Linked DNA regions of Xenopus tropicalis. The protein of the gene in region 2 interacts with the protein of the main gene of each other region in a biochemical or structural test. Links are inferred from orthologs where the notes say so. Each region holds a gene or a part of one and is shown on either strand. Other genes may lie near its edges. The genes, in order: crtc2 and sik2.

Region 1 (16,242 bases), on a different chromosome or scaffold from region 2:
TAACTGACTACCGACCCCATAATCCCCCCCCTACAGGCGACTACCGGAACAAACCAACCCACCGGTTCTCCTGTTGGGCAGCGCCATGCCCTGTGCGGCTCCGTATGGATCCTGTGAGCTGGGATTCATCACGCTGGTATGGAGAGCAGAGTCCGAGTTTGTCCTGAGGAGAAGCCATGGACACACGTCAGGGCTAGTGGGAGGGGCCAGCAAGTAGCCACCGGGACAAAGCAGGAAATAAACACTGAAGCCAGAAGGGGCCACACGTTGCTTATGGTACCCAGCACAAGCACCCACTGCTAGCCCAGGCACACACCCATATAGCCACACACACCCCTATGCAATAAGGCACTCGTGGTACAGGGGGGGCGGAGGGGGCCACACAGCTGCTTAGCTCCTCCCAGTACGCAGCAAAGCGGCAGAGAGAAGCGGCAAAAAGAGGGAAGCGGCAGAAGAAACTTCACCTGTTTAGGGCGGTCGGCAACCTAAAGAGCTGTCCTGTGTCCGAGGGGTAGTTTCCCCAGGGCATGTTCCTTTGTAATGAAAAACAGCAGAGTTATCCAGGGACCCGAGGGTCTGGGGTGGGCAGCCACGGGGGGGGGGGGGGGGGTATATAATGGGTGGGGGGCACAAGGCCTGTGGTTAGGTGCTCCAGCCACATATATTAACTTATGTGTCTCCTTCTGCCAGAGAGGAGCCCCCCGGCAGCGCACAGGAGGAAGCCCCGCCCCTAGCATCCCAGAGAACCAATCAAAAGCAGGAACCCCCCAAACTGTGTAATGCTCTTTAGTCTTCAGCCGCTGTCCTTCCCATTCACAGCCTGAATAGTCAGCTATAAATACCAGCCACGGGGCAAATGGGGGCAAATGTAAGGCAACTGGGTCCTTGGTGGCACAACGGTTCTTCATGGGTGGGCACATAGAATTGGGGGTGTGTCCCTTTAATATCCTATATCCCTAATTGCCCTCTTGTTTTGTATTAAAGCTTCTAGGGGCCCTATGTTACAGAGCAGGGGCAAATAAACCTCTAGGGGCCCTATGTTACAGGGCAGGGGCAAATAAACCTCTAGGGGCCCTATGTTACAGAGCTGAGGCAAATAAACCTCTAGGGGCCCTATGTTACAGAGCTGGGCAAATAAACCTCTAGGGGCCCTATGTTACAGAGCTGGGCAAATAAACCTCTAGGGGCCCTATGTTACAGAGCTGAGGCAAATAAACCTCTAGGGGCCCTATGTTACAGAGCTGAGGCAAATAAACCTCTAGGGGCCCTATGTTACAGAGCTGGGGCAAATAAACCTCTAGGGGCCCTATGTTACAGAGCTGGGGCAAATAAACCTCTAGGGGCCCCATGTTACAGAGCTGGGGCAAATAAAGCTCTAGGGGCCCTATGTTACAGAGCTGAGGCTAATAAACCTCTAGGGGCCCTATGTTACAGAGCTGAGGCAAATAAACCTCTAGGGGCCCTATGTTACAGAGCTGGGGCAAATAAATCTTTAGGGGCCCTATGTTACAGAGCTGGGGCAAATAAACCTCTAGGGGCCCTATGTTACAGAGCTGGGGCAAATAAACCTCTAGGGGCCCTATGTTACAGAGCTGAGGCAAATAAACCTCTAGGGGCCCTATGTTACAGAGCTGGGGCAAATAAACCTCTAGGGGCCCTATGTTACAGAGCTGGGGCAAATAAACCTCTAGGGGCCCTATGTTACAGAGCTGAGGCAAATAAACCTCTAGGGGCCCTATGGCTGGTACCAGCAGAGGCTTCTGGGAATTAGAGTCACATTACCTTCTCCAGCTGGGCTCCTGTTGCGGTGAGAGGTAGGAGGCGTTGTAGGGAGAGCTGTCCAAGTGGGCAAGTTAAGGAAAGCAATCCAGCCAATGCCTGTGTGAGTAGAGCTGGGTGATGCCCAACAGGTGCCCAGGGTGGCACACACTTCCCATCTGCCATGTTCCCACAATGCAACTACAGGAAGAGGAAAGACTTATGGCTTTCTGACCTACAACCCAGGTCTCGTTGGGGGGGACGATCCCCTAAATTAGGACCAACTGACTGTAGCCTCCACCCGCCAAGGGTAACTTAAACCTCTATAATCTCTATACTGGGAGGTGAAATCCAAAAACATCACAGTAATATTCCTAATTCCTAAATAAAACCCGGTTCCGTGTTCTTAAGGTGCATCTGTTTGGGCCGATACAGCACCGGGCTGCCTCCCTATTGGTACCGCCTGTATCCACAACTGAATTCTAATTGGAGGATTTATATATGTAATGCCCAATGTACCAGCAGACTGAGAGCACTAGGGGGCGCCATAGAGCGCTATGTATTGGTGCAAAGCAAAGGATATTTGGCGCATGTATCGGCGCAGGGGCGACATCATCCGGCGGGGGTCTCGCTGAACTCTCTCCACGAGACCATGGTGGCGGGTGCTGCGAGATGATTCCAGGGGGGAATGTGGGGGGCACTGCAATACAACAGAGGGGGTTACATGGGGGGCCCTGCAATACAACAGAGGGGGTTACATGGGGGGCCCTGCAATACAACAGAGGGGGTTACATGGGGGGCCCTGCAATACAACAGAGGGGGTTACATGGGGGCCCTGCAATACAACAGAGGGGGTTACATGGGGGGCCCTGCAGTACAACAGAGGGGGTTACATGGGGGGCCCTGCAATACAACAGAGGGGGTTACATGGGGGGCCCTGCAATACAACAGAGGGGGTTACATGGGGGGCCCTGCAATACAACAGAGGGGGGTTACATGGGGGGCCCTGCAATACAACATAGGGGGTTACATGGGGGGCCCTGCAATACAACAGAGGGGGTTACATGGGGGGCCCTGCAATACAACAGAGGGGGGTTACATGGGGGCCCTGCAATACAACAGAGGGGGTTACATGGGGGGCCCAGCAATACAACAGAGGGGGTTACATGGGGGCCCTGCAATACAACAGAGGGGGTTACATGGGGGGCCCTGCAGTACAACAGAGGGGGTTACATGGGGGGCCCTGCAATACAACAGAGGGGGTTACATGGGGGGCCCTGCAGTACAACAGAGGGGGTTACATGGGGGCCCTGCAGTACAACAGAGGGGGTTACATGGGGGGCCCTGCAATACAACAGAGGGGGTTACATGGGGGGCCCTGCAATACAACAGAGGGGGTTACATGGGGGGCCCTGCAATACAACAGAGGGGGTTACATGGGGGCCCTGCAGTACAACAGAGGGGGTTACATGGGGGGCCCTGCAATACAACAGAGGGGGTTACATGGGGGGCCCTGCAGTACAACAGAGGGGGTTACATGGGGGGCCCTGCAGTACAACAGAGGGGGTTACATGGGGGGGTAGAGCAGTGACACCAACAAAACCAACACTCCCGGGTACAAATAATCACCTGAAACTCTGCGCTGCCGCCGCTGCCGATCTGGTTGACGTTGGGGAGTGACCCCCCATAGTAAGGGCCCCTCATATGCGCCATTCTGAGCTTCTGCACCTGTAACTGTCACACACACAGCAACTTAATGGCACAGTCTGTACTGCACGGGCACTGTCTGTCTGTCTGTCTCCCTGTCTGTGTGTGTGGGGGGGTATCACTGCCACTGACAGATCCCAGGTTGGGGGGGGGGGGTATCACTGCCACTGACAGATCCCAGGTTGGGGGGGTACCACTGCCACTGACAGATCCCAGGTTGGGGGGGGTATCACTGCCACTGACAGATCCCAGGTTGGGGGGGTACCACTGCCACTGACAGATCCCAGGTTGGGGGGGGTACCACTGCCACTGACAGATTCCAGGTTGGGGGGGTACCACTGCCACTGACAGATCCCAGGTTGGGGGGGTACCACTGTCACTGACAGATCCCAGGTTGGGGGGGTATCACTGACAATTGCCAGGTTGGGGGGGTATCACTGACAGATCCCAGGTTGGGGGGGTATCACTGTCACTGACAGATCCCAGGTTGGGGGGGTATCACTGTCACTGACAGATCCCAGGTTGGGGGGGGGTATCACTGTCACTGACAGATCCCAGGTTGGGGGGGTATCACTGACAGATGCCAGGTTGGGGGGGGTATAACTGACAAATGCCAGGTTGGGGGGGGGTATAACTGTCACTGACAGATCCCAGGTTGGGGGGTATCACTGTCACTGACAGATCCCAGGTTGGGGGGGGGTATAACTGACAGATGCCAGGTTGGGGGGGTATCACTGTCACTGACAGATCTCAGGTTGGGGGGGGGTATAACTGACAGATCCCAGGTTGGGGGGGGTATCACTGACAGATCCCAGGTTGGGGGGGGGTATAACTGACAGATCCCAGGTTGGGGGGGTATAACTGACAGATGCCAGGTTGGGGGGGGTATAACTGACAGATGCCAGGTTGAGGGGGGTATAACTGACAGATGCCAGGTTGAGGGGGGTATCACTGACAGATCCCAGGTTGGGGGGGGGGTATCACTGACAGATCCCAGGTTGGGGGGGGGGGTATCACTGACAGATCCCAGGTTGGGGGGGGGTATAACTGACAGATCCCAGGTTGGGGGGGTATCACTGACAGATCCCAGGTTGGGGGGTATCACTGACAGATCCCAGGTTGGGGGGGTATCACTGACAGATCCCAGGTTGGGGGGGTATCACTGACAGATCCCAGGTTGGGGGGGTATCACTGACAGATCCCAGGTTGGGGGGGGTATCACTGACAGATCCCAGGTTGGGGGGGGTATCACTGACAGATCCCAGGTTGGGGGGGTATAACTGACAGATCCCAGGTTGGGGGGGGGGTATAACTGACAGATCCCAGGTTGGGGGGGTATCACTGACAGATCCCAGGTTGGGGGGGGTATCACTGACAGATCCCAGGTTGGGGGGGGTATCACTGACAGATCCCAGGTTGGGGGGGTATAACTGACAAATCCCAGGTTGGGGGGGGGGGTATAACTGACAGATCCCAGGTTGGGGGGGTATCACTGACAGATCCCAGGTTGGGGGGGTATCACTGACAGATCCCAGGTTGGGGGGGGTATCACTGACAGATCCCAAGTTGGGGGGGGGGTATAAATGACAGATCACAGGTTGGGGGGGGTATCACTGACAGATCCCAGGTTGGGGGGGGTATCACTGACAGATCCCAGGTTGGGGGGGGTATCACTGACAGATCCCAGGTTGGGGGGGGTATCACTGACAGATCCCAGGTTGGGGGGGGGTATAACTGACAGATCCCAGGTTGGGGGGGGGGTATAACTGACAGATCCCAGGTTGGGGGGGGTATCACTGACAGATGCCAGGTTGGGGGGGGTATCACTGACAGATGCCAGGTTGGGGGGGTATCACTGACAGATCCCAGGTTGGGGGGGGGTATCACTGACAGATCCCAGGTTGGGGGGGTATCACTGACAGATCCCAGGTTGGGGGGTATCACTGACAGATCCCAGGTTGGGGGGGTATCACTGACAGATCCCAGGTTGGGGGGGGTATCACTGACAGATCCCAGGTTGGGGGGGTATCACTGACAGATCCCAGGTTAGGGGGGGGGTATAACTGACAGATCCCAGGTTGGGGGGGGGGGTATAACTGACAGATCCCAGGTTGGGGGGGGGGTATCACTGACAGATCCCAGGTTGGGGGGTATCACTGACAGATCCCAGGTTGGGGGGGGGGTATCACTGACAGATCCCAGGTTGGGGGGGGGTATCACTGACAGATCCCAGGTTGGGGGGGGTATCACTGACAGATCCCAGGTTGGGGGGGTATCACTGACAGATCCCAGGTTGGGGGGGGTATCACTGACAGATCCCAGGTTGGGGGGGGTATCACTGACAGATCCCAGGTTGGGGGGGGTATCACTGACAGATCCCAGGTTGGGGGGGGGTATCACTGACAGATCCCAGGTTGGGGGGGGGTATCACTGACAGATCCCAGGTTGGGGGGGGGTATCACTGACAGATCCCAGGTTGGGGGGGGGGTATCACTGACAGATCCCAGGTTGGGGGGGGGTATCACTGACAGATCCCAGGTTGGGGGGGGGTATCACTGACAGATCCCAGGTTGGGGGGGGGTATCACTGACAGATCCCAGGTTGGGGGGGGTATCACTGACAGATCCCAGGTTGGGGGGGGGGGGTATCACTGACAGATCCCAGGTTGGGGGGGGGGGTATCACTGACAGATCCCAGGTTGGGGGGGGGGGTATCACTGACAGATCCCAGGTTGGGGGGGGTATCACTGACAGATCCCAGGTTGGGGGGGGGTATCACTGACAGATCCCAGGTTGGGGGGGGGTATCACTGACAGATCCCAGGTTTGGGGGGGTATCACTGACAGATCCCAGGTTGGGGGGGGGGTATCACTGACAGATCCCAGGTTGGGGGGGGGGTATCACTGACAGATCCCAGGTTGGGGGGGGTATCACTTCCTGTCAGGCAATATAACTGCCCCATAGAGCTCACAGTTGGGATAAAACCACCCCAGGGGCTGCACCAGTTCCCACGCAACACTATAACTGGCCAATGGCAGACAAGTGGCAGAACGCGGGTACCCGGGTGGAGCCGATGTCCATCATGACCTCCTCGAAGGCCGCCGTCTCCTCCGCTTGTCTCTGGCGCTGCAGGGCGATCTTTTCGCTGAATTTGCGCGGGTTGGAGGACGAGGCCGAGCCCGGCCCGTTGGCCCCCGCCGAAGCCGCCATCTTTCGCTCCCTTCCGCAGCCGCCGAGAAAACCCCCGGTGGAAAAACACAGCGCTAGGCACGCCGGGACACGTAGTTCCAACGCGCCGCTGAACTCGAGAAACTCAAAGCCCAACGGCACGAAGCGAAACTACATCTCCCGTCGGGCTCCGCGTTACGTGGGCAGACGACGTCCCACTGCTTGTCGGGAAACGTAGTTCCAAGCGCTTGAAATAGACGTCGAGTGAATCACGTTAAAACTACAATTCCCATGCGGCACCGACGCTGTTACCTTCTGGCCCGCCAGTTTGGGTGTGAATAAAGTGGTGGCGGCCTGCGGCTTGGGGCGGAGCCTTCGCTACGTTTGTGTGAAAGGAAATAAAGGGCGGGTCTGGAGGGAGGGATAAACACTGTTGTGTGACAGGAAAACGGGTGTAGGAATCCTGTCCCTATACTTCCAGGGGGTCACTGTAATTATTACTATTAATATTAACAACGTGTATTAATATTACAATAAATAGGTTTATACAGGGGACATAGAGGCTCTATAGGGAGCTCCCATAACGGGGTCACTTCTACAGATGATACTAAAGGGATTTTCCCACCTAAAAATTAACATTTAGTGTGATGCAGGGAGGGTTATTCTGAGACAATTTGCAATTGGTCTTTTTTTTATTTAGCATTTTGTTCAGCAGCTCTTCAATTGGGAAATTCAGAATCCATCTGGTTGCTAGGGTCCAATTCAACTTAGCAACCAGGCAGTGGTTTGAAAAAGGAACAGGGATATGAATAGGGGAGGGGCTGAATAAAAAGATAAGTAAAAAAAAAGTAACAATAACAATAAAACTGGAGCCGCGCAAAGCAATCGTTTTTGGCTGCCGGGGTCAGTGACCTCCATTCAGAATCATCTAGTTGCTAGGGTCCAATTTAACTAAGCAACCAGGCAGTGGTTTGAAAAAGGAACAGGGATGTGAATAGAGGAGGGAGTAAATAGAAAGATAAGGAATAAAAAGTAACAATAACAATAAAACTGGAGCCTCACAGAGCAATAGGTTTTGGCTGCCGGGGTCAGATATACTGTTACTAGGGCTCAAATTACCTTAGCAACCAGGGAGCTGTTTGAAAGAGAGGCGGGTATATGAATAGGGGAGGGGCTGAATAGAAAGATAAGGAATAAAAAGTAACAATAACAATAAAACTGGAGCCTCACAGAGCAATAGGGTTTGGCTGCCGGGGTCAGATATACTGTTGCTAGGGCTCAAATTACCTTAGCAACCAGGGAGCTGTTTGAATGAGAGGCTGGTATATGAATAGGGGAGGGGCTGAATAGAAAGATAAGGAATAAAAAGTAACAATAACAATAAAACTGGAGCCTCACAGAGCAATAGGGTTTGGCTGCCGGGGTCAGTGACCCCCATTTGAATGGGAAATCATTATTTATAGTTTTTTTTTTTTAATTAAGACCAATTGCAGAGTTGCTAGGAATAGGGCATTCTGTAACATACTAAATGTTAACGGAAACCACCCCTTTAACCCTAGAAAGGCCTCCCCAGCTTGGGGAAAAACCAAACCAATAGAACAGTCTGTATTTGAAATGATTTGGGGATCAGACTGCATTTGTGTTGGCAACTGTATGACCCGGGAGTCCTGCAGGGGGTCGGTTACCCCAAGAAAAGTGAGTACCTGCGGGTCAAGTTGAGCTTCTAATTCATATTTCTTATTAGGGGTGCACCGAACCCAAAAAACCCACCCTGATGGCTTTGGCTGAATACTGAACCGATCAGTAAGGGTTAAAAAATAAAAATCCCCCCCCCACTAACATTTAAGCCTTCTGAATGCTAATTAGCATATGCACATTTATGCTAATTAGGATTTGGATTCAATTTGGCCGAAACCGAATCCTATTTCTAATATTATATTACCTATATTCATATTTTACTCCTTGAATAAAGGGGAAGTTCACCTTTACGTTCATTTTTAGCATGTTATAGAATTGCCATAAACAGCTTTTCAATTGGTCTTCATTATTTATCATAGGGTTGCACCAAATCCGGGATTCAGCCAAATCCATTTGCCTTCCTTTTTCAACTCTTTGCAGCTTTCAAATGGGGGTCACTGACCCCGGCAGCCAAACCCTATTGCTCTGTGAGGCTCCAGTTTTATTGTTACTGTTACTTTTTATTCCTTATCTTTCTATTCAGCCCCTCCCCTATTCATATACCAGTCTCTCATTCCAACCACTCCCTGGTTGCTAAGAAAATTTGAGCCCTAGCAACAGTATATCTGACCCCGGCAGCCAAACCCTATTGCTCTGAGGCTCCAGTTTTGTTATTGTTACTTTTTATTCCTAATCTTTCTATTCAGCCCCTCCCCTATTCATATATCAGCCTCTCATTCAACCCACTCCCTGGTTACTAAGGTTACTTGAGCCCTAGCAACAGTATATCTGACCCCGGCAGCCAAACCCTATTGCTCTGTGAGGCTCCAGTTTTATTGTTATTGTTACTTTTTATTCCTTATCTTTCTATTCAGCCCCTCCCCTATTCATATTCCAGCCTCTCGTTCAAACAGCTTCCTGGTTACTAAGGTAATTTGGACCCTAGCAACCATATAGATGCTAAAAACTCCAAACTGCTGAGCTGCTAAACAAAAATTGAGATAAAATTTAAAAAAAAATGAAGACCAATTGCAAATTTTCCTAATATCACCCTTTACGTCATACTAAACGTTAACGCAAAGGTGAACATCCCCTTTTAGAAGAGTCAAACACACAGCAGGTTAAAAAGAAGCCATTTTAATAAAGGCTGTGTACGTTACAGCTGGTTAGTAAACACGTGGGTATAAAACTGGTATAATAATAATAATAAAAAATAGATCCCCGTGTATATAAATATTACAAAATATTTTTCTGCATAATAGAAACATAAAGGGCAAGCGCGACTGTATCCGCGGCACACACGCTTCCCTCTCATTGGTCCCGTTTGTGCTTGGGAAGCGACGGGCAGCCGAGGAAAGGGTTAATCAGATCTTGATGAAGAGGACGGCGGCGATGGCGGAGAAGCCGCAGAGCAACACGATGACCCTGTCGATCTGGGGGTAACCGGCGCTCAGCTCGTGGGGCAGGATCTCCAGGAAGGTAATGTACATAAATGCCCCAGTGGCCAGTCCCTCCAGCACACTACGGGTTAACTGTTGCACTGGGTCGGTGCTGCCAGCCCACGCCATGCCCAGGCCCATGCCCAGCGGGCACATTAGGGAGTAGAACAGGAGGCACGCCAGCATGGCCCGGACGTGGAGGCGCCCCTGCCCCAGTTTGAGGGTGAGGCTGAATGCAATGAGGCTCTTATGGACGAGCAGAGCCAGGCAGGTCTTCATCACTCGCCCACGTGCCCCCTGGTACCCCAAGGCCACGCCCTCCAGGGCGGAGTGCAGCGCCAGGGCCAGTACCAGCGCCATCATTCTCACCGCCGAGTGAGCGTTCACATCCACGTGTACGTGGGGCGCCCCCACCCCGCTGTGTAACAGGCTGGCCGATCCCAGCAGGGCGCCCGTCTCCTCCGAGCCGCCGGCCTGATCCTTGTAACCCATGGCAACCTGCTCCATTACCAGCACCAGGAAGAATCCCATGGCCAAGATGAACTCTTGCAGGGGGAACTGCAACTGGGAGCAGAGACAGTGACCGTTACGCGGGAGAATTAAAGGGGAACTTATATACACATACACAAAAAGTCTGCACGCCCCCGGCAATATGGCAGCTTTTTGTTTAATAAAAATAGGGATGCGCTGAAATTACTGTTTTGGGATTCCGCCGATCCCAGAATCCTTTGTGAAAGATTCAGCTGAATAAAGGAAATTTGCATATGCAAATTAGTTTAAGGAAGGGTTAAATAGAAAAATTCCATGCTTATGTCACATGACTTTAAAGGGGGGGTTCACCTTTAAAAGTAACTTTTGGTGCATTATAGAATGCCCTATTCCTAGCAACTTTGCAATTGGTCTTCATTATTTATATATATATATATATATATATATATATATATATATATATATATATATATATTACAGTTTTTTAATTATTTGTCTTCTTCTTCTGCCTATTTGCCGCTTTCAAATGGGGGTCACTGACCCCGGCAGCCAAACCCTATTGCTCTGTGAGGCTCCAGTTTTATTGTTATTGTTACTTTTTATTCCTTATCTTTCTATTCAGCCCCTCCCCTATTCATATACCCGTCTCTCATTCAAACCACTCCCTGGTTGCTAGGTTAAATTGAACCCTAGCAACCAGATAGCTGCTGAAATTCCTAAGTAGAGAGCTGCTGAACAAAAAGCTTAAGAATTCAAATGAAAAATAAGGACCAATTGCAAATTGTCTCAGAATGGCGAACAACCCCATTAAAGGAACAGTAACACCAAAAAATGAAAGTGTAGAAAAGTAACTAAAATATAAAGTACTGCTGCCCTGCACTGGTAAAAGTTGTTTACTTCAGAAACCCTACTATAATTTATATAAATAAGCTGCTATGTAGCCATGGAGGCAGCCATTCAAAGGAGAAAAGGCACAGGCACATAGCAGATAACAGATAAAACACTATTGTATTCTACAGAACTTATCAGTTATCTGCTATGTAACCTGTGCCTTTTCTCCTTTTTTCCAGCTTGAATGGCTGCCCCCGGGGCTACACAGCAGCTTATTATATAAATTATAGTAGTGTTACTGTAGCAAACACACTAGTTTTACCAGTGCAGGGCAACAGTGCATTCTATTTTTATTACTTTAAAGCTCTTTCATTTTTTGGTGTTACTGTTCCTTTAAAGGACACGTACACCCCATGTTTATAAATATCTGCCCTGTAGGTGGGGCAATCCCCAGGCATGCCTGTGGGGGATTTAACCATTAGCCATACTAAAAGGCTACAGATTAACTGTATAGATGCCGTGGCCCCCAGGTACTCACTGTGATGTTTAACCCTTTCAGGGCACCAGCAATAGAGGACAGGTAACTGGGCATCAGATCCAGAAGACAAGTAGAAAGGAAGACGCCTCCCGAGAAGCAGCTGATGAGACTCAGCGACCTCCGCTGGGGACCTGCGACAGCAACGGGGAGTAAGGGGTTAAATACAGGGGTCACTTGCTTGATATCTATGAATATAGGTTTAACCCCGTTATTACTGCCCCACTAAAAGCCTCACCGGAGGTAACTGTGCTCCCCTGGCGCCTGAATAGAGAGAGAGGGGCAAGGCCACTGATAATGGTGAGAAGCAGCAGGGTAACCAGGGACCCCAACTTCAGCTCCATGGTAACGACTGACAGGGGGGCAGAATCCAGCCCTGGGCTCCAAACTGCCTCCATGTCCTTCTCTTCTGTTACCCCGGCCTGTAAGGAGGGAACAATACCGCTGTGAGGCAGGGGGGGCAAATGGGCATGCTCCTACTGAGGGGACAGGGGCAGTAGGAGAATATACAGAGGGGGGGGAATTCATTAATATAGAAAGGTAGAAGGGATAATACGCAGCAATGTGACAAGGTTGCAGAGTTGTAGGTAGAGGTAATACAGGGGCAGTATGAGAAGACAGGAGGGGTAGGTAGGGGTAATACAGGGGCTGTATGAGGAAACAGGAGGGGTAGGTAGGGGTAATACAGGGGCAGTATGAGAAGACAGGAGGGGTAGGTAGGGGTAATACAGGGGCTGTATGAGGAAACAGGAGGGGTAGGTAGGGGTAATACAGGGGCAGTATGAGAAGACGGGAAAGAAATATGTCGGGGTAATACAGGGGCATTATGAGAAGACAGGAAAGGAGTAGGTAGGGGTAATACAGGGGCAGTATGAGGAAACAGGAGGGGTAGGTAGGGGTAATACAGGGGCTGTATGAGGAAACAGGAGGGGTAGGTAAGGGTAATACAGGGGCAGTATGAGGGAACAGGAGGGGTAGGTAGGGTAATACAGGGGCAGTATGAGGCGACAGGAGGGGTAGGTAGGGGTAATACAGGGGCTGTATGAGGAAACAGGAGGGGTAGGTAGGGGTAATACAGGGGCTGTATGAGGAAACAGGAGGGGTAGGTAGGGGTAATACAGGGGCTGTATGAGGAAACAGGAGGGGTAGGTAACGGTAATACAGGGGCAGTATGAGGAAACAGGAGGGGTAGGTAACGGTAATACAGGGGCAGTATGAGGAAACAGGAGGGGTAGGTAGGGGTAATACAGGGGCAGTATGAGGAAACAGGAGGGGTAGGTAGGGTAATACAGGGGCTGTATGAGGAAACAGGAGGGGTAGGTAGGGGTAATATAGGGGCTGTATGAGGAAACAGGAGGGGTAGGTAGGGGTAATACAGGGGCAGGTAGGGGTAATACAGGGGCAGGTAGGGGTAATACAGGGGCAGGTAGGGGTAATACAGGGGCAGGTAGGGGTAATACAGGGGCAGGTAGGGGTAATACAGGGGCAGGTAGGGGTAATACAGGGGCAGGTAGGGGTAATACAGGGGTAGGTAGGGGTAATACAGGGGTAGGTAGGGGTAATACAGGGGCAGGTAGGGGTAATACAGGGGCAGGTAGGGGTAATACAGGGGCAGGTAGGGGTAATACAGGGGCAGGTAGGGGTAATACAGGGGCAGGTAGGGGTAATACAGGGGTAGGTAGGGGTAATACAGGGGTAGGTAGGGGTAATACAGGGGCAGGTAGGGGTAATACAGGGGCAGGTAGGGGTAATACAGGGTAGGTAGGGGTAATACAGGGGCAGGTAGGGGTAATACAGGGGTAGGTAGGGGTAATACAGGGGCAGGTAGGGGTAATACAGGGGTAGGTAGGGGTAATACAGGGGTAGGTAGGGGTAATACAGGGGCAGGTAGGGGTAATACAGGGGTAGGTAGGGGTAATACAGGGGCAGGTAGGGGTAATACAGGGGTAGGTAGGGGTAATACAGGGGCAGGTAAGGGGTAATACAGGGGTAGGTAGGGGTAATACAGGGGCAATACAGGGCGGGGTACATTACACAGGGGCAGATGGGTAGAGAGGGTACTAAGAGGGTACTGGGCGGAGGGGTAGTTTGGGGTGAGGGGGGAATAATCACAGAAAGATCCAGACAAACTTACCATCGGCCGGACTCAGACTCACACTCTGACTAACGCTGCCTCAGTGCGCAGGCGTGTAGCGCCGCCATGTTTGTACACCCGGAAATGAGTGCGACCCTTTGGGACCCTGTGAGCCGCGGCTCAAACCCTCATACGGGGGCGGCTCCTGGCTCCTCAGGGAGGGAATAAATCTGCCACTGAGGCGGCCTCTTCCGTACCGGGAATTCGGAGAAATCTCAGCAGCCGCGGTGCATTCTGGGTAGGTAGCGGAACCGAGTCCGGAGCTGTGATTTCTTTACTGCAGTGTGGTACAGTGGGGGGTAACCTGGGGGGCAGGGGGGAGAATGGGGGGTAACCTGGGGGGCAGGGGGGAGAATGGGGGGTAACCTGTGGGGCAGGGGGGAGAATAGGGGGTAACCTGGGGGGCAGGGGGAGAATGGGGGGTAACCTGGGGGGCAGGGGGGAGAATAGGGGGTAACCTGGGGGGCAGGGGGGAGAATAGGGGGTAACCTGGGGGGCAGGGGGGAGAATAGGGGGTAACCTGGGGGGCAGAGGGGAGAATAGGGGGTAACCTGGGGGGCAGGGGGGAGAATAGGGGTAACCTGGGGGGCAGAGGGGAGAATAGGGGTAACCTGGGGGGCAGGGGGGAGAATAGGGGGTAACCTGGGGGGCAGAGGGGAGAATAGGGGGTAACCTGGGGGGCAGGGGGGAGAATAGGGGGTAACCTGGGGGGCAGGGGGGAGAATAGGGGGTAACCTGGGGGGCAGGGGGGAGAATAGGGGGTAACCTGGGGGGCAGAGGGGAGAATAGGGGGTAACCTGGGGGGCAGGGGGGAGAATAGGGGGTAACCTGGGGGGCAGGGGGGAGAATAGGGGGTAACCTGGGGGGCAGAGGGGAGAATAGGGGTAACCTGGGGGCAGGGGGGAGAATAGGGGGTAACCTGGGGGGCAGGGGGGGAGAATAGGGGGTAACCTGGGGGGCAGGGGGGAGAATAGGGGGTAACCTGGGGGGGCAGGGGGGAGAATAGGGGGTAACCTGGGGGGCAGAGGGGAGAATAGGGGGTAACCTGGGGGGCAGGGGGGAGAATAGGGGGTAACCTGGGGGCAGAGGGGAGAATAGGGGGTAACCTGGGGGGCAGGGGGGAGAATAGGGGGTAACCTGGGGGGCAGGGGGGAGAATGGGGGGTAACCTGGTAACCTGTGGGGCAGAGAGGTACAGTGGGGGGGTAACCTGGGGGGCAGAGGGGAGAATAGGGGGTAACCTGGGGGCAGGGGGGAGAATGGGGGGTAACCTGGTAACCTGTGGGGCAGAGAGGTACAGTGGGGAGGTAACCTGGGGGGCAGAGGGGAGAATAGGGGGTAACCTGGTAACCTGTGGGGCAGAGAGGTACAGTGGGGGGTAACCTGGGGGGCAGAGGGAGAATAGGGGGTAACCTGGTAACCTGGGGGGCAGAGGGGAGAGTAGGGGGTAACCTGGGGGGCAGGGGGGAGAATAGGGGTAACCTGGGGGGCAGAGGGGAGAATGGGGGTAACCTGTGGGGCAGAGGGGAGAGTAGGGGGTAACCTGTGGGGCAGAGGGGAGAGTAGGGGGTAACCTGGGGGGCAGGGGGGAGAATGGGGGGTAACCTGGGGGGCAGGGGGGCAGGGGGGAGAATGGGGGGTAACCTGTGGGGCAGAGGGGAGAGTAGGGGGTAACCTGGGGGACAGGGGGGAGAATGGGGGGTAACCTGTGGGGCAGAGGGGAGAGTAGGGGGTAACCTGGGGGGCAGGGGGGAGAATGGGGGGTAACCTGTGGGGCAGAGGGGAGAGTAGGGGTAACCTGGGGGGCAGGGGGGAGAATGGGGGGTAACCTGTGGGGCAGAGGGGAGAATGGAGGGTAACCTGTGGGGCAGAGGGGAGAGTAGGGGGTAACCTGTGGGGCAGGGGGGAGAATGGGGGGTAACCTGTGGGGCAGAGGGGAGAGTAGGGGGTAACCTGGGGGCAGGGGGGAGAATGGGGGTAACCTGTGGGGCAGAGGGGAGAATGGGGGGTAACCTGTGGGGCAGAGGGGAGAGTAGGGGTAACCTGTGGGGCAGGGGGAGAGTAGGGGGTAACCTGTGGGGCAGGGGGAGAATGGGGGGTAACCTGTGGGGCAGAGGGGAGAGTAGGGGGTAACCTGGGGGGCAGGGGGAGAATGGGGGGTAACCTGTGGGGCAGAGGGGAGAGTAGGGGTAACCTGGGGGGCAGGGGGGAGAATAGGGGGTAACCTGGGGGGCAGGGGGGAGAATGGGGGGTAACCTGGTAACCTGTGGGGCAGAGAGGTACAGTGGGGGGGTAACCTGGGGGGCAGAGGGGAGAATAGGGGGTAACCTGGTAACCTGTGGGGCAGAGAGGTACAGTGGGGGCGTAACCTGGGGGGCAGAGGGGAGAATAGGGGGTAACCTGTGGGGCAGGGGGGAGAATGGGGGGTAACCTGTGGGGCAGAGGGGAGAGTAGGGGGTAACCTGGGGGGCAGGGGGGAGAATGGGGGGTAACCTGGGGGGCAGAG
Region 2 (16,210 bases):
TTTGTGTGCTATTTGTACAATTCATGTAGGGAAATCTGCTAACCAAGGATAAAGATAAAAGTCAAAACCGGATTTTGTATAATGTACTTGTAATGATGGTATAACGAATGGTGTCTTGTAACTGCAATTTTAAAACCTGCCCAATGGTCAAGGCATTGTGTCCAGTTTTCTCAGAGGCACTCTTTTCTAATTCAAGATTTAGCTACAGTAAAACTTTAGAAGTGAAAGTGAGTAAATAGCAGAACATATTTCGAGACCCTTTTATAAACTAATCATTAAACCTAGTTCATCTACATGTTGTATCCAGTACTTTATTTCTTAACCTATATAAGTGACTATTAATAGGTTCATCACTCTACACAGATTATGTAGGATTATGAGAATAGTGGTGATCAGGGATTCCACAGGGGTACAGTGCTGCAGGGGCCCCAATCAACTTTACTCCAGTCATTCAGAGATGACTAAAGAGTAATACCAAATGCCCCAAAGTGATAAAGAACACACTGGCAACTCTGTCAAGATGCCATCAACCTCCCATCATGCACTAAAAACCTCAATTTGATTTTATTGTCTCCTGTTACCTTGGGTGTATAAAATTACTTTGACAGGGCAAAACAGAAGTTTCTGAGGTAGAAAGTTCCTACTGAATAAAGGATGTGCAGCCTGTCCATAAGGCTAATGGAACTAACATGCCAGATCTATGTGCATATTCTAATTTTGTTAAAGGAACAGTAACACCAAAAAATTAAAGTGGTTTAAAGCTATTAAATTATAATAGAATAGTGCCCTGCACTAGTAAACCTGTTGAGTTTACTTCAGAAACACTAATTTAGTTTATATAAATAGGCTGCTGTTTAGCCATGGGAAAAGCCATTCAGTCTGAAAAAGCAGAAAAGGTACAGGTAAAGGTAACTGGGTCATCAGTCATTGTACTTAATAAAGATGACAAAGGTTAAGTAAAATAGTTAAACTTCTTAATGCCTAAAGTCTGGGTCTGAAATTTAAAAGAAACTATAAAGCTCTTGGAATATAAAACACATTTATTAACTGGTGTAGTGTGAAGCATAGAGTAAGATGATCCAGTTATCAGAATTTGCCTTGGAAGGAAAGAGTTACCCCTGTAGGTAAAAGTCTGACAGTCTGAAAGTAATAAATACACTTATGTAAATGAACCTATGTGCAAACAGGGACAGGGGCAAATATGTGAAGAGAAGAGGGTAACACAGAGCAAGGGTAAAGATGCATGAAAGGATACTCAGAGCACTATCCCTGTTCAGAGCTTTTCCAGACTTTGCAGTGACTGGCAAACAAAACACACACAGTCCAGAAGCCGATGGAGCTAAATCTTCACAGTCCCAAGCACTAGCCATTGCCTGAAAGGTTAGAACTACTGCACAAACACACATCAGTGGTTTCTAAATCCTTAACACTGAAGGAAGCCAGCAGAGAAAAAAAGGCAGCAGTCAAAAAAGGTTACTGTTATGATTACATGTAACTGACAAAGTAGCTAACTGTAACCTGGTGGCTTTTCTCTTGGGTATTTATTCAATACAGAAAAAAGAAGAAAAAAAGGGCAGTCACATTTTAAATACTGAGATGACACAAGTGCTCAGATACCAAAGCTTCTGTAATACACACGAACCAGGTCTCTTGACTCTCTTCTCTTTAAGTCTTTAAAATGTAACGAACAAAACAAATAAATAACAGCGCGTATAGTTAACAGTAGTTTACTAAAGTTTAACTTTTCAGCATACTTTGGGCTGCTCAATTCTTTTAACTGCTGTATGGCTGATCTGAAATATTTAAAGATGCAATTTACATGCAGCTTAGAAAGCAGTACAAAAAAATCTATTTTCATCAAACAAAACAGTTTTTTGGTGGAAATCCTTGTATAAAAATGCATTAGATACAAAATGACAGTGGTTGTCAAGGGGGTTATGCCCCAGCCATCAGCACATGTATAGGTGCAACATTAGCATGAAAACCAAGAGCATCCAGTCGCACATTTGCTTCCTTTAAGGTAGCTGCACAGAGAAGGTGTTTTGCAGATGTCTTGGAAGCACAACTACCACATGTGAAAGCTGAAATACAACATCTAGCCCTGCTGACAGCTATTTCTGGAGAATTATAGGTTGTCCTTCACTAACTTATGGCATAATGGTACATTTACTGGTTAGGAGACGGATACTGGGGATTGGAAACTAACCAGAAGTCAGCAGGCTTCTCTTATCACCAAACACTTGATTTAAGATCATAAAGGTAGTTTCTAAGCATTACGCTAAGGTTGATTTTGGCTAAAATAAAGTTTTAACCTGACCAATCTATATCTGCAGCACAGATAACCTATATAATAAAAGGGCTACCCTATGTTCTATTACGGTGAAGACACACAGAGCTACTAGTAGCAGCTACTTGTCGTGGCTACTAAAATAGACAATGCTGATCATTTACTGATAACAGTCTCTACATGTGTTTTAGCAGAGGCAATTCTCATTGTCTATGGCAAGGAATTTTCTGGAGTTTAGTAGCCATGAAAAAGTAGCTGCTACTAGAAGTAATAGTAGCAGCTACTTGTTGTGGCTACTAAAATAGACAATGCAGATCATAAACTGATAATTGTTTGTGTGTGTGTTTTAGCAGAGGCAATTCTCAGTGTGGCCTATGGCAGGGTATTTTCTAGAGTTTAGTAGCCGTGAAAAAGTAGCTGCTACTAGTAGCTCTGTGTGTCCTCACCCTTACTTAGAGGTTGTCTGCAGATATTAATTGATTTACTAGTTTAAAGGCTGTAGGGTTGCAAACAGTAGAAAGTTTGACATGCTGATGCCACGGAGCATTAAATAGGAGTGTGACTTATTTGCAAGCTAGTTGTGAAATGCGTACAGTCAAAACAATTCAGTTGTTTGCCTTGAAGGGCAAGCTTTAACACATATTAACCAGTGAATTCATGGGCAATCTGGACTTAATCAGGAAGTAAACCAGAACCAGGATGATATGACTTGCCATTTAGTTAAAGCCCTTGATCTTGCTGATATGATGGTTAAAGATGGCTTAAATCTAAATCCAAGTCATAATAATAGGAGGGAGGGGAGTCAACTGACATTTTCTTTATGAAAAATAAAAAAACATATCAGACACTCTGCCATTTATATTAGCATGCTTGTTTTACCAAACAGAGAATTTTCCACACAGGTCTAATTATTCAGTATGTGTTCCTGTGTGTGAGCAAGCTAAAGAGATTTGAGCACCTGCGTGAAAGAGTTTTCATTTACAAGGGATTTAATGGGAACTCACAGTGACAGAAGGAAAGAAGCACTTGGACTATCATTATGATTTGTTTCGACTTTAACCTTTATGCAAACTTTGTGCTAGATACTCAACATACTACAACAGTATTTTTTTTCTACATTTGAGATACAGGACCAGATTAACTAAACAGTGGTGTGATAACTGGTTTATTGGAAATTATAATCACTGGAACATTAACTAAACCTTTTGGTGATAATATGACTTAAGGAAGAAATTAATTAAGTCTTGAACGCATCTTCACAGGTCTATTAAATCCGTCAACATGCAATACATTGCTTCAAGAGTCAGAACCACCAAACTGGAGAATATAAAAAGGATAGACTGGTACTGCTTTAAATAGCAGTTACAATTAAAGCTGGGCATGCACGTACCAATAATATCATATAAATAAAGTTTTGGAAGATTTTTGGTTTGTGTATGGTGGCCTGCTGATCCCTACTGATATCCATGCACCATGGATATTGGTCAGTTCTGGGAATAAGCAGTTTTGAAAATTTCCATTGCCAATGCACTATTATCAGCTTTTTTTTAACTTACCATTTCAGCTCATGTAGGGAGGCCTTTAAAAATAACTTTAAGGAGAAAGAAAGGTAAAAACTAAGTAAGCTTTATCAGAAAGGTCTATGTAAATACAGCCGTAAGCTTTATACATTATGAAAAGTATTTACCCGACAAAAAATGTTTGGTTGCTAGACCATGAAAAATAATAGATGTGTATATGACTGTTTGTTGAATTGTGCCTCTTTATTTTAAAGTGAAACTCCACCCAAACACAACTTACCTTTTTGTAAAAAAAAAAAAAAAAAGCTTAATTTCAAGCAACTTTGCAATATGCAATCAGTTAAAAAATATGCAGTGTTTTCATGATTTTTAATGTAATAATATGGTTTGGAACAGTTACCTAAGCTTGGCCCCCTGTTCTCCTGCTGATCTGGCTGACTACTAAAAATGTAATAGTATTCCACTGTCCTTAGCCTGCAACCTCTAAACCCCACAATCCCCTGCTCACGTGATGTCAATAAGGAAAGGAACATCACAGAGCATTGCATTGTAGTTCCTGCATGCTGTCTGTAAGAACATTATAGTTGAGGAGACTGCCTCATACAGATACAAATAAACAAAAGGAATTCTGGGAATGAATTCCAAACTCCTAAAAAAAAATCCCATTTACATGGGTTTATCCTATAGCCTATAGGATGAACCCATGTAAATGGGATTTTTTTTTTTTTTTTTTTTTAGGCGTTTGTAATTCATTCCCAGAATTCCTTTTGTCTATTTGTAAATTGTGAAGAAACGGATACAATTTGTAACATGTTTTGCAGCTGGCTTTTAACATATAAAGATGGCATTTATTCATATTTTTTGAAGGAACAGATTACAGTAATAGGTTTATTAAGGGTTTCTGTGTTGTGTAGAGCTCTTTAACAAATTTTTCTTTGGAAGCTGGAGTTCCCCTTTAACATAAAACTGTTACTGCATGTTAGGTCTTGGACTTCACAGGATCTGATCTAAACTCAAGGCAATAGAGCCTGCCCATAAATATTATCTCCAAGTGATTCTGCACTGTCTGGTAAGTGTACCAATGTGTCATGCTGATAGGTAGGCTGTTTTACATTAGATCAAAGCAACAGACTACTCTTGTGTTAGTTGAGCATGGAGAGGGGAATTTACATTTTTAATTATTTACAAACTGCTAAGAAGTAATCACACATCTGCAGGGTATTTTACAACTACATACAGTAGCTGCCTGAAAGGTGCTGGGAGTTGTGCCTACATTTGGACATTAATACCTTATATCAGATAGATGGTAAGTGATACAACAAAACTGAAAGGGACAGAATTGGGTAGAATTCCCTGCATCCCAGGGGCAGCATGTGATGGCCTTTAAGTACAACTGTCAGTGCAGACTTTATTAAACTGCACACACTAACTGCCAAAAGATCATATTTTTATTTAAGGTTTACATTTTTAACACAGAACGACTTCTTTGTTAAAAATTCTACTGTATTAAATATGCCAACATGAAGTTAGAAAAAAATGTAGCTATTACATATTGTTAGATACTCTGTACTTAATTGTTGGCTTACCAAAGCATTAATTGTTATGTGATCATTAAATATAAACATGTAAATAAGTAAATGTAACTTTAAGAATGTATTCATTGCCAACAATCATTTCTATAGGTCACAAAAATTAGCAAATTTAGGTGGAAAGGCTGATTAGAAGTGTTGTGCATTTTGTGTTGCAAGATAGTGTATAACAGAGCACAAAAAGCTTCAATAGTGCAACAATTAAAAAAAATGAACTGAAAAACTGAACAGTGTTCCGTGACCTGAATTCAGGGTCAAACAAACTTACACAATATGCAAAGTTTAGCAACAAAATGTACTTGTCTCAGGACCCGACGAAGCCCTCGATCTTATATCAACAGGAAGCAAAGAGTACATAAAGGGCAGCTTTCAATACTGCTTGCTACTGCAAGTCACAAACAAAAATGATCACTGATATCTAAACTAAACAGATATTGTTGGCAGCAAACCTGGCTCGCAAGATATTCACCTGCATGAGGAATAAGTTGAGGCAGAAATGTGCAGAGATGTATGGAGGTATAGTTGTAACTGGAGACTAAAAAATGCCTCTTAGAACTGTGCTAACTCTATATAGGCCCCAATACAATGCTTATATTATTTTTACATACAAAAGCACACTAAATTAAAATTACAAATGAATCTGTTTTTGCCACAATAAGGCAGAATGTTAAAATTTAAACATAAAAATATCTCCCCCACAGTCCAAAAAAAGTATTTCTAATAAAAGAATCTAATTCTAAGGAACCTTCCAATATACATTTCATAAAATTTTTCACTAGTTCTAAAGTAATTTGCAACTGAAAGCAGCACTTGTCTTTCCATTTCTGCACTGCTCGTTTTGTCATTTCAAACAAGGTAACAGAAGTCAGCCTTGCATGGCTTGCAGGCTTCAGCTACCTTGTTTCAAAAGTCCTAATAACAAAGGGCCAAACAGATACTATTATTCATAGCATATATATTTACAAAATAACTTTATAATTATTATAAATAGGCAATTCACATATACATGTTGAAAATTGCTTAGGATTACCATCTCTCAAATCTGGCAAACTTTTATTCACTGATTTATATCCCCTTTAATAACAATTTAACTAGTTCTTGACACAAGGACATGTTTAAACGTTTAGTAAAAGTATTATGTATAGAATACAGTAATGCATCACAGATAGAAGAAAAATAATGTTGTGTGAATACTCATTCAGCCCTTGCCAGCTCTCTAACTGTAAGAGCATCTCATTGCCACAGGATACAGAGGTCCGATGACAAGATGCAAGGGGTGACATTTAATCTGCCTTGGTGTAAGTGATACTAAGAGACTACAGGTCTCAGGAAAATATAAATGGCCATCAGATGACATCAATTTCTTAGCTGTATCAGTTTGATCGGCTGAACTACATGACCCAGAAACAGGTAAAAAACCCACAGTGTACACCTTTTAGATAGAGTGTCACTCAATCTTGGTAGTGTGACTGGAGTTGGTTTCTATACCTGAGATTGTGACTACAAGGCATTTTATGGCAACATAACTAAAATGCAGAATTCATGTTCTGTTCAGATGACTTATCATAAAAACTACACACTGGGCAAACAAACAAACCATGAACCCATTCTCTAAGAGAGATGCTTCACTGAAATGCTGCAGTAACCAATAGCAGCCAGAGATATACCTTTAATCAGTGCGATGCAGTTGGAAAAAGCAGGAAAAATTGATTGGTACTATGGATTAATGCACAGCTTTACCTGCGGTATTAAGTGAGGGGCTAAACCTGCTAGGTGGCTCATAAATCAGCAGGTAAACATGAACCGGTGTTCTTGGATTCTAGGGAACAAATTGGTTACTAGTGCAGTTCATAAGATACTTGGCCGAGTAGGTTTTGCCAGTCACCTGTAACTCTGGCTGTAAGTGAGAAAAGCAACAGCATGTTTGGCAAACCTTAGCGGTTGTTGAACCCAAACCCCTAGTATTCCCAGACAGAAGATGCTGGTACTTTATGTTTGACTTTGCTGTCTTTGGGCCACGAAACAGTAAGCAATGTAATGAGATTTAGCAAAATAAAAGCTGTTTGTACCCAAACTTTGTTTGCTAAAGTATTTCTATGCCAATTAATATGTTTATTGTCTCCATGGTGCCACACAAAGCAGGTCTGTACTGTGATTTTAAAGACTCTGGATTAATAAGAAATTATAGTTATATAATGTGGCATCAATAAAAAATAAAAATTTTATTATTGCAGTTGGCAAGATGTTTTTATTTTTACTATTTATTATCTTTACCCTTACTTGGCAGTGTCATAGTTGACACCAGTTGTTAATGGGAAAAGAAATGTCACGTTTAGGTGGCCACCAGCAGACCTTACCAGGCTAAAGCAATGGCACACTTGGATCCCCAAAAATAACACTTACCAAGTTAGAGCAATAACCTTACCCTGTAAACTATGCCATACTTAGACACCACAAGCTTAACCATTAAAGGGAAAAATGCCATATAGGAGAACCCAGCAAAAGCCTTTACCAGGATAAAGCAATGCCATATTTAAAAGCCCAGTAATGGTACTTACAAAGGTAATGCAAAGGCATGTCTGGATGTCTAACATAAGACCTCACTAGTGTAAAGGAGTATGGGTGCACTGCAAACACTCTCACAATTGTAAAACAATGCCATAAATAGGTGCCACTGCCCAGCACCTACCAGGTAACACCAATGCCATAATTACATGTCCAGCATTATCACTTGCTAAGGAAAGGTAATGCTGTAAGTTGGTGCCCAGCAAGTCCTCAGCAGCAACACTCCCTACCAGAACACAGCACTGTCACATTTGGGTGCCCAGCACTTTGCAGGGATAAGGCAATAGGCAGAAAATGCCCTTATTGGCATAATAGAAAATGGAAATAGTTGAAATGTAAAAGAAGCGGCTTCCCAGCTGTTATTGCGCTAAAACACGCTGCAGTTTTGCGCCAAGAGTTGTAGTGCAAGAACAGCAGAGGGATGCAGTGAAGCTCACACAAGTTATTAGCCAGACATTTGGCCAGTACTTGCCTCGGTTTTGGTGATCCGGTGCCTCGCCAGCTTCACCACCGCGAAATTCCCTTTCCCTAAAGTGCGTTCTATGTCATAAAATCCGACCCGGACAGGACCCCTCTGTACAGGCTTCTGACAGTCCGCCATGACCATGCTGGGAGCCGGGCCAGGAAGCTCCAACGGGAAACAGACATCAACCGGCACGATTAGTGCTCACACCCCCCAACAAGTCGCAGTGAAAGGAATCGCAGGCAGATCCTACAGGCGCTCACAGGGGGCTCACCTTAGCCATTCCTTATAGGCAAGTGCAACCCAACGCAAACTACATTCAGCTTCTAGCGCCCGCACATTACATACAATCGCAAGACTTTTCTGTAAAGTTGATGGTGGCGAAGAATTCCCAAATGGAACGCGTTACTGCTTGCATTGTCCAGCTCCTGCCATGTGTTCAGCACGGTTATACCCGAATGAGCTCTCACACATCCATGCAAGGTGGGAACGTCTGACATTAACATGCAAACAAAACGCAACCAATCGGGCTGAGTTTTCACAGGTCCGATAAAGTCAGCTCATCAAGTCGTTGCAGGCAGATTTACGGCTAAAGTGTTGCAAAGTAACGAGCATTGTGCAGCTCCCATTCACTTGCACAGAGGTATTGTTAGTCGCTGTAGCACGCGTGCGACCAGACACAGGGAGTGGAGGCAGCTGTGCAGCAGGAAGCCAATGTACCGCTCTATGCACAAGGCATCATGTTCTCACAGTTAACGTCCATTGACGTCAGAGCAGCAGGAGGCCTCCTGGGCGGGCCCTTTATTCCCTGTCTTTTTTTCACAGCTCGCTTGCCAAATAGGTTGCCCTTGACAACCGGAGCCAGCTCTGACGTCAGCAGCCCTCTGCTGAAGCTGTCAGTCAAGGCTAGCACAGGGAGAGTATACATGTGTGTGTGGCTGAGGCGCTGCCTGTTCGCACATAGCAGCTATAGCTTAGAGGCAGGATGGCAGCCCCGGGCCTGCTGCTGCACCGGGGCTCAGGGAGTTCCTGATCAGAGCTACGAGAAACATGCGAACAATTGGAAGCAGGGGGGCTGCATACATCCGCATTTACACAGCACTCTTTATTAACGCATGCACATGTTACTGGTCTTAATTAATTATTATAATAATAAGTAGCTCGCACAGTAACTTTGTTCTTATGGTGTTCCCTGGGCACGGTGCTCCTGGAGAGACAGCGCCACCACCGGCATCTGTGGGGCATGACAGGCAACATTACCCTGGCCCTAGCTGTGCTCTCTTAGGGCTGCTGTTCTATCTCTCTGTGCCAGGGCTGGTGTGGAGATTAGAGGCTTGTCGAACCGGGCTGTCAGCTGAGGGGAATAGGTACTCTGCTACCGCTTGTGTGCCTAGTGGGTCACTGACTAATGAACATTTTATGAAACTATCTTATAATTGCAACCCCTTTTTGGCTGCAAAACAAAGACCAGCTAGATGGGCTATGGAGCATGGGGTACACTTGACTAACACACAGGATGGGCCTTTGTTATGTGAAAGGACCAAGGGGGACATGTAGTTGTGCAACTACAATTCACTTATGCTGTGTGCAAAAATAAAGAAATAAAGGGTACCAGATGGTTCTTGCAGCAAACTCAAACAGAACTCAGTTTATTTGTCCAAGACAAATGGTCCACAGGTTAATGCAGTAATACTCACAATGCAGATGCAGGGCAACAGATTGGCACGTTAAATGCAGAGCAAGCAATGTAAAGATGCACCACTGTAGGGCATCTTTTTCCTTAAAGTTTCTTACCTTAATGGACCAGATCCCAAACAGCAGACATATATGAGGGAGAAGGCTATGCCTGATACCCTTGTTATAACTGTGGCCCCTTCAATTAGGCAGTGGAGACTGTAAAGGAGAATATATCCTGCACTTACTAAATCCTCGTTCACAGGGTCCCTGCTCCCCGACTTCTCTAGAGATAGATGGCTTTACTGAGGCCTTGTTGATCATGTACCTGTTTCAACAGATGCAGGCCAAATAAGAAGTTCTCACCTCCTGCTGAACACTATGTTACAGTGTGCAGCAAGTAATCATAAGTCTCATGGGCCAAAGATACAAAACATCCTTATAGCAAGATAGATACATGGGCTTCCGCCCAGTAATAGTGAAATAAGGAAGTGTAGGGTTTAAAGCTATTGGGAATGTTAACACTATAGGCCCCTGAATATTTAGTTAAACTGTAAAATGATTTTTTATAAAGAGCGCAGTAACTTCTACATACGCCGCTGTCTCTTGAAAAACTGCTGCTCATGCCCAAAATAACTATTGGCTCTTATACCAACACACATAAACTGGTGTCTTATGTGGTGATTTATGTAAGCACATTTTATATTTATATACAGCTATTTGTACACACAGGGCTGTAAATTGAGCAAGAAAATAAGTAGCCACTGCATACAGCCTGGAAGTGGTTTCATTGTTTTCTATAAGGCAAGTAGTCTTATTAATTCCATAGAAAAGAATAAGATCAACGTGAAAATAAAGCTTAATAACCGAGATGCCAGCCCAAATCCAAATTGATCCAGGGGCATATTGACTGTCCCTGTCTCACCCATCGGCCATTCAATGCTTCCTGCTCCTCTGCTTCTGATTATATCAGAGGACTGGTGATGACTCTATGTATTTCAATGAAGTGTGTAAGTTTGGTTTCAGGTGCATATTACTGTAAGAGGGAGATGGACCCAGTGGCATTACAATAGTAGGGTGACAAAGGTTTCCTTTCTCTATAAAGGGGTGACCTGCAATTTTACACACAACCTGGGATGGATCCATAGCTCTTTTCTACAGAAGCTGCAGTATTTAGCACCCAGGAGGCAGAGTGAGTAGCGATGTACTCTTGAATTAAAAGATGTTTACCTGAGGCAAAAATTGAGTCATTTTTTGCAGAATTCCTGATTACTTAAAGAAATAACTTTTGTTTCTTAATAAACAAGGACAATGTAATGTATGTGATCTGCTTAGTCCAGGTCACTAATAGTATATGTAAGCAAGAATATTTCCATTTTCATGTTTTGGCTAAATATGGGAGCTGTCATTCATACAAAACAAATATGTAGATACACAAGAGTGTACAGAAAAATCAATTTAGTTAATTATTTCAATTAAACGTTTATAGAAACGTTAAATTAAAATAGAACTTAAAAGACAGTGTATAAATTCAAGTGAAGGGCAAATGATCTTTTAATTGTGCTTTCTGCTAAATGAAGACATGGTGGGGCACTTGTGCAAGACTGCCCCCTTTATCTGAGGTCGGGCCAAGTCCAATAAAGGCATTTTCTGATATAAAGCTGCTGTATACTGCTTTTCAAAGACTGCAAAAACAAAAAAATATGTGGGCATAGCATTGCCCTGTTGGATTTTAAAGGTGTAAAACAGGAATGGACAGTAAATCTGGATATTCTGCCAATAGCTAGAATAGATTTTATATTCTGCCTATGGGGTGTGTTTAGGTTTCTGTATACTTGAAATGCCAAAGTGTACTGATTTCAATCTAGGGCATGGTGTCTGGAAGACTCGTGTGTTGAGTACAGCCCAATATAGTCTTAATCTGACGCTGGAACAGAGAGGTCACGTTTAGACAGGAGAAGCTCATTATAAGAATCAGATCAAGAAACAGCAGACACGGTATTAAGCCAGATTACAACAGGCTAGAAGACGTCTACGTTAAATAAGTGTTCTTTTGGTTAAGGAATACATGATAATGTAGCAATATATGTGATTGTATGTTAGTTAATTTTGCATATTTCTATAATCAGTTTTTATTGTTATAGCAGCAACATGTTCCACAGCTTTTACATATTATGCATCATTCACATCAGACCCTGCCCAAATGGAGCAGGGACTGATGGAGCATATCACATTTACTCAGCACACACACTAGGACCACTAGCCAATTAACTTGGCTCTATGTTTTAGCTGATTGGGAGGAAACTAAAGATCCTGGATAAAACCCACACAGTCACAGGTAGACAAACTCTTTGTAGATCATATCCAGGTCACTTGGAACCTCAGCTTTATATATTTGTGAGTGCATAATGCTTGTATTTCTAGGGTTTTTGAACTTTGTACATTCTCTTTAAAGAGGGTGAGTGCAGAATGAATTGCAGAACTGATAATCAGGCTATTGTTATTATCCTTTATTTATTTATTAATTTTTTCCTATAGTTTTTTATTGTTTTATAGCAAGAAAATAAACATTTCACGTTACATAAATCAAGTTCCGTATTCTTTTAACAGTTGAATAATGTTGTCATATTGATACAAATTATCTTAATATTAAGATACAGTTGTCATTATCTTATCCGTGATACTTTGTGTCAGTTCCAAAAATGACAATGACAAATATATTTCCATTATGATAGGAGATTATCCTTTATTTATATAGAACCAATATGTTACAGATTGCATAGAGAGATATTCTGCCCAAGTGGAGCTTACAAAAGGCTAGGTACACATTCCATATATTATTAATTTTATGAGGACAACTGATAGAACTGAATAGAAGTGAAAGGGGTCATAAACCTTCAATAATGGTGTTCTTATACCTAATTTTTCTGGACTACAACTCCCAGCATTCATCAGAATACTGTCAAATATCATGATAGTCCAGCCACCACACTTAAGGATTCTTAAAGGAAAAATGTATAAACAAATTTTAAACAGCCAGCAGCCCTGTTAAAACAAGACGATCCTCAAAAGAGAACCCTGTCTGCTCTTTTTACACTTGACTTTATCTTTCTGGTCTCAAACAAAATCATCATTTTTCTTTTGTAGCTCTAATAACCTAAACAGCACTGTGTCTGCATTTATGAAGTCTAACCTGGAAAAAGAAAATAAGAATATCTGGAAAAAGGTGATTTGGGAGGTAAAATATACTATAAAAGTTGATTTCTTATTCTTATTGGACAATTCCTTTGCATCTATAATTTATTTGGAATGCTAGCTATGGAGAACTAGGGGACATTGAAAGTCAGTTTTTAAGATGGTTTATGTCTATGAAGATTTTCATTCATCCAGGTCATGGTATATCTAGTATAAATAAATTTAAAGCAACTGGACTTGTTTGGTAATCATTGAAGACGTTTCACTACTCATCCGAGCAGCTTCTTCAGTTCAACTGAAGAAGCTGCTCAGATGAGTAGTGAAACGTCTTCAATGATTACCAAACAAGTCCAGTTGCTTTAAATTTATTTATAATTAAGAAAAAAATAAATTGAGCAGAAAAACTTAAGTTAATTTCACCAAAAGGTCCTGAATATTAAATAATTGAAATCAACGCAAAAGTTTTTTAGTGAAAAAAAACAGACATTTATTGGCTCAGAAGATTTAACACAAATTCAAAAAAACATAAGCCATACTATACCACAGTGGAAAGGAAAACCCAGTGCCTCATGGTACCCACTCTCCTTCCTAACGCGTTTCGCACCATTAGGTGCTTCATCAGAGGAAGTGTGGTGTGAACATGTCACTTCCTTTTTATACCCTAAAGGTGTTAATTTTATACATATTCCAGGGCCACCATTAAAGCCCTGCAGCAAGCACATACTATATATAACCTTTATGAATACATCACACAGGGTTCACAAAGTGGCCCCAAATTCAGCATAATTAAACAAATTCAGCATACATTAAAATTAATAACAAATAACTAAAAAGGTGAAACACCTATCAAAATGTGTCAAAAAGTATTTAACAAAAAATTTATTTATACTAGATATAAGATGGTTTATGTTCCTTAAGGGCAATGGCACACAGGATGTTTAACCTATTGCCTATGCAATGGTGGTGGTAGTTGTGGGGGAACAAGGTACTTACCTCTTCTGTCTGGTGAATACACCAATTTGTGTTCATTAAATCAGACAGGGCCATCCACAGTCACATCAGAGTGTAGGAGGCCCTTAAAGGCTAAGGTGCAAACAAAAAGGTTGCCAGCAAAGTTTTTGCAAAGTTTACTTTGGTTATGATGACAAATAAAAGCTCAATCTACTGAGTGCAAACCCATGAACTAGAATAACTAAAATCACAGAGTGAAAAGGTTCACTGATACTTTAAAAGGTACTAATGTGTTATTTAGTCCCAGCAAAGATAAGCCCTAATGCAAACGTCAGTTCCCGAGGCTATGAAACTTGAAACATATTCATGGTGCTCCTCTTTGCAGACTAAAATAGGATATTATTCTGCCATTTCAACGACTCTTTACTGTGTACAACCATTTTGGACCTGTTATAACAGTGGTTCTCAATACCTTCAAAAAGGTATTAACAGATACCCCCTCTGGACTAAAACAATATATATCCACACATATATTCATGGAAAAACAAGGGCAATGTAAGAGACTTTAAAGGTATGTTCACCTTTAAGTTAATTTATAGTTATAGTTGTTATAGACTGTTCTATTCTTAGAAACTTTTCATTTAGTCTTTATTTTTTGTTTGTTATGGTTTTTGAAACCATATTCCACTTTCAATCCCACTACACATATCCCACTTTCAAATGAGGTCACTGACCGACCCCAGAAGTGAAAAAAATTATTGCTCTGTGAGGTTACAATTTTATTGTTATTGTTAATTTTGATTTCTTATCTTTCAGTCCATCTCAAATTCATCAATTGTTTAAATCACTTTCTGGTTGTTGTAAATTGTACCTTAGCTACCAAATAGCTACTGTATTCCAACCTGGAGAGCCACTGAACAAAAAGTTCATTTAAAAACCACAAAAAAAATGCTCAAACAAATAGTCTCAGAATATCACTGTCCATGTAACAGTAAAATTTATTTAAAAGCTTAACTACGCTTTACATGTTATCCAAAACCTTTCCTTGTTTCTTTAGAAATCAATAGGATCATTTTGTTTTTTTGTGCTGAGGAAGATTTCTTAGACCAAGGCAAGGCTCTCAGCGCTTTATTTTCAAATGATAAATGCCTGACCTATCTGAGATCAGACAATCACCATTAATGTCAATGGAGGGGTAATTCCCTGGGAATCTTCCTGTGTGCCATTGCCTTTACTGGCATTTTTTTTATAATGTTATAAACGAGTGCCCCACATTTTGTTATTAAACTGATAACACACACCTGGACAGTAGGCGCAAGACATATATTTTTACTATTAAAGTGCACCGTGATCTTTACAACAGAAGATCTCTTATTGCCCCTTACACTGTGCTATCACCTATCTACCATCTATCTATCTATCTATCTATCTACCATCTATCTATCTATCTGTCTATCTATCTAATCTATCTATCTATCTATCTATCTATCTATCTATCTATCTATCTATCTATCTATCTATCTATCTATCATCTATCTATCATCTATCTATCTATCATCTATCTATCTATCTATCTATCTATCTATCTATCTATCTATCTATCTATCATCTATCTAACTATCTATCTATCTATCTATCTATCTATCATCTATCTATCTATCTATATCTATCTTTATGCTTGTGAGAAGATGTGAGAAGTGGAAATGCAAATATTAATAATCCTTAATTTAAGATAAGGAGTGCCTGCACTTTATTTATATTCATAACACCAATATAACCCTGGTACTGCAAATTCAGTAACTAATTTGGCTGTTCTGATGTACTCAAAGCATTTGTGCAGTATAGCTATGTCTGTGTTTAATTGCTTTACTTTTCAAACTTTGAAGGATATTTGCAAAAATATTGCATAAAAAATAGTCAAAAACAAACTTAATGTAGTTTTCAAGTCTTACGGGGGTTGACAGCT

What was found.
Region 1: of the proteins of sik2 (region 2) and crtc2, one has a biochemical effect on the other in vitro, tested with the Homo sapiens proteins (2 studies listed by BioGRID). The link is inferred for Xenopus tropicalis from reciprocal best matches to the Homo sapiens genes SIK2 and CRTC2.

What each region holds. Positions count from the first base shown.
Region 1 is NC_030684.2:144,417,913-144,434,154, forward strand, and holds the start of crtc2 (CREB-regulated transcription coactivator 2), read right to left. Parts: upstream 7,014-16,242; 5' UTR 6,675-7,013; coding exon 6,525-6,674; intron 3,493-6,524; coding exon 3,388-3,492; intron 2,459-3,387; coding exon 2,342-2,458; intron 1,845-2,341; coding exon 1,783-1,844; intron 534-1,782; coding exon 465-533; intron 164-464; coding exon 63-163; intron 1-62. Other genes in the region: slc39a1 (zinc transporter ZIP1), read right to left, coding at 9,674-10,312, 11,607-11,737, 11,842-12,025, 13,738-13,740. UniProt on the Homo sapiens protein: Transcriptional coactivator for CREB1 which activates transcription through both consensus and variant cAMP response element (CRE) sites.
Region 2 is NC_030683.2:84,184,922-84,201,131, reverse strand, and holds the start of sik2 (serine/threonine-protein kinase SIK2), read right to left. Parts: upstream 9,638-16,210; 5' UTR 8,569-9,637; coding exon 8,434-8,568; intron 1-8,433. UniProt on the Homo sapiens protein: Serine/threonine-protein kinase that plays a role in many biological processes such as fatty acid oxidation, autophagy, immune response or glucose metabolism.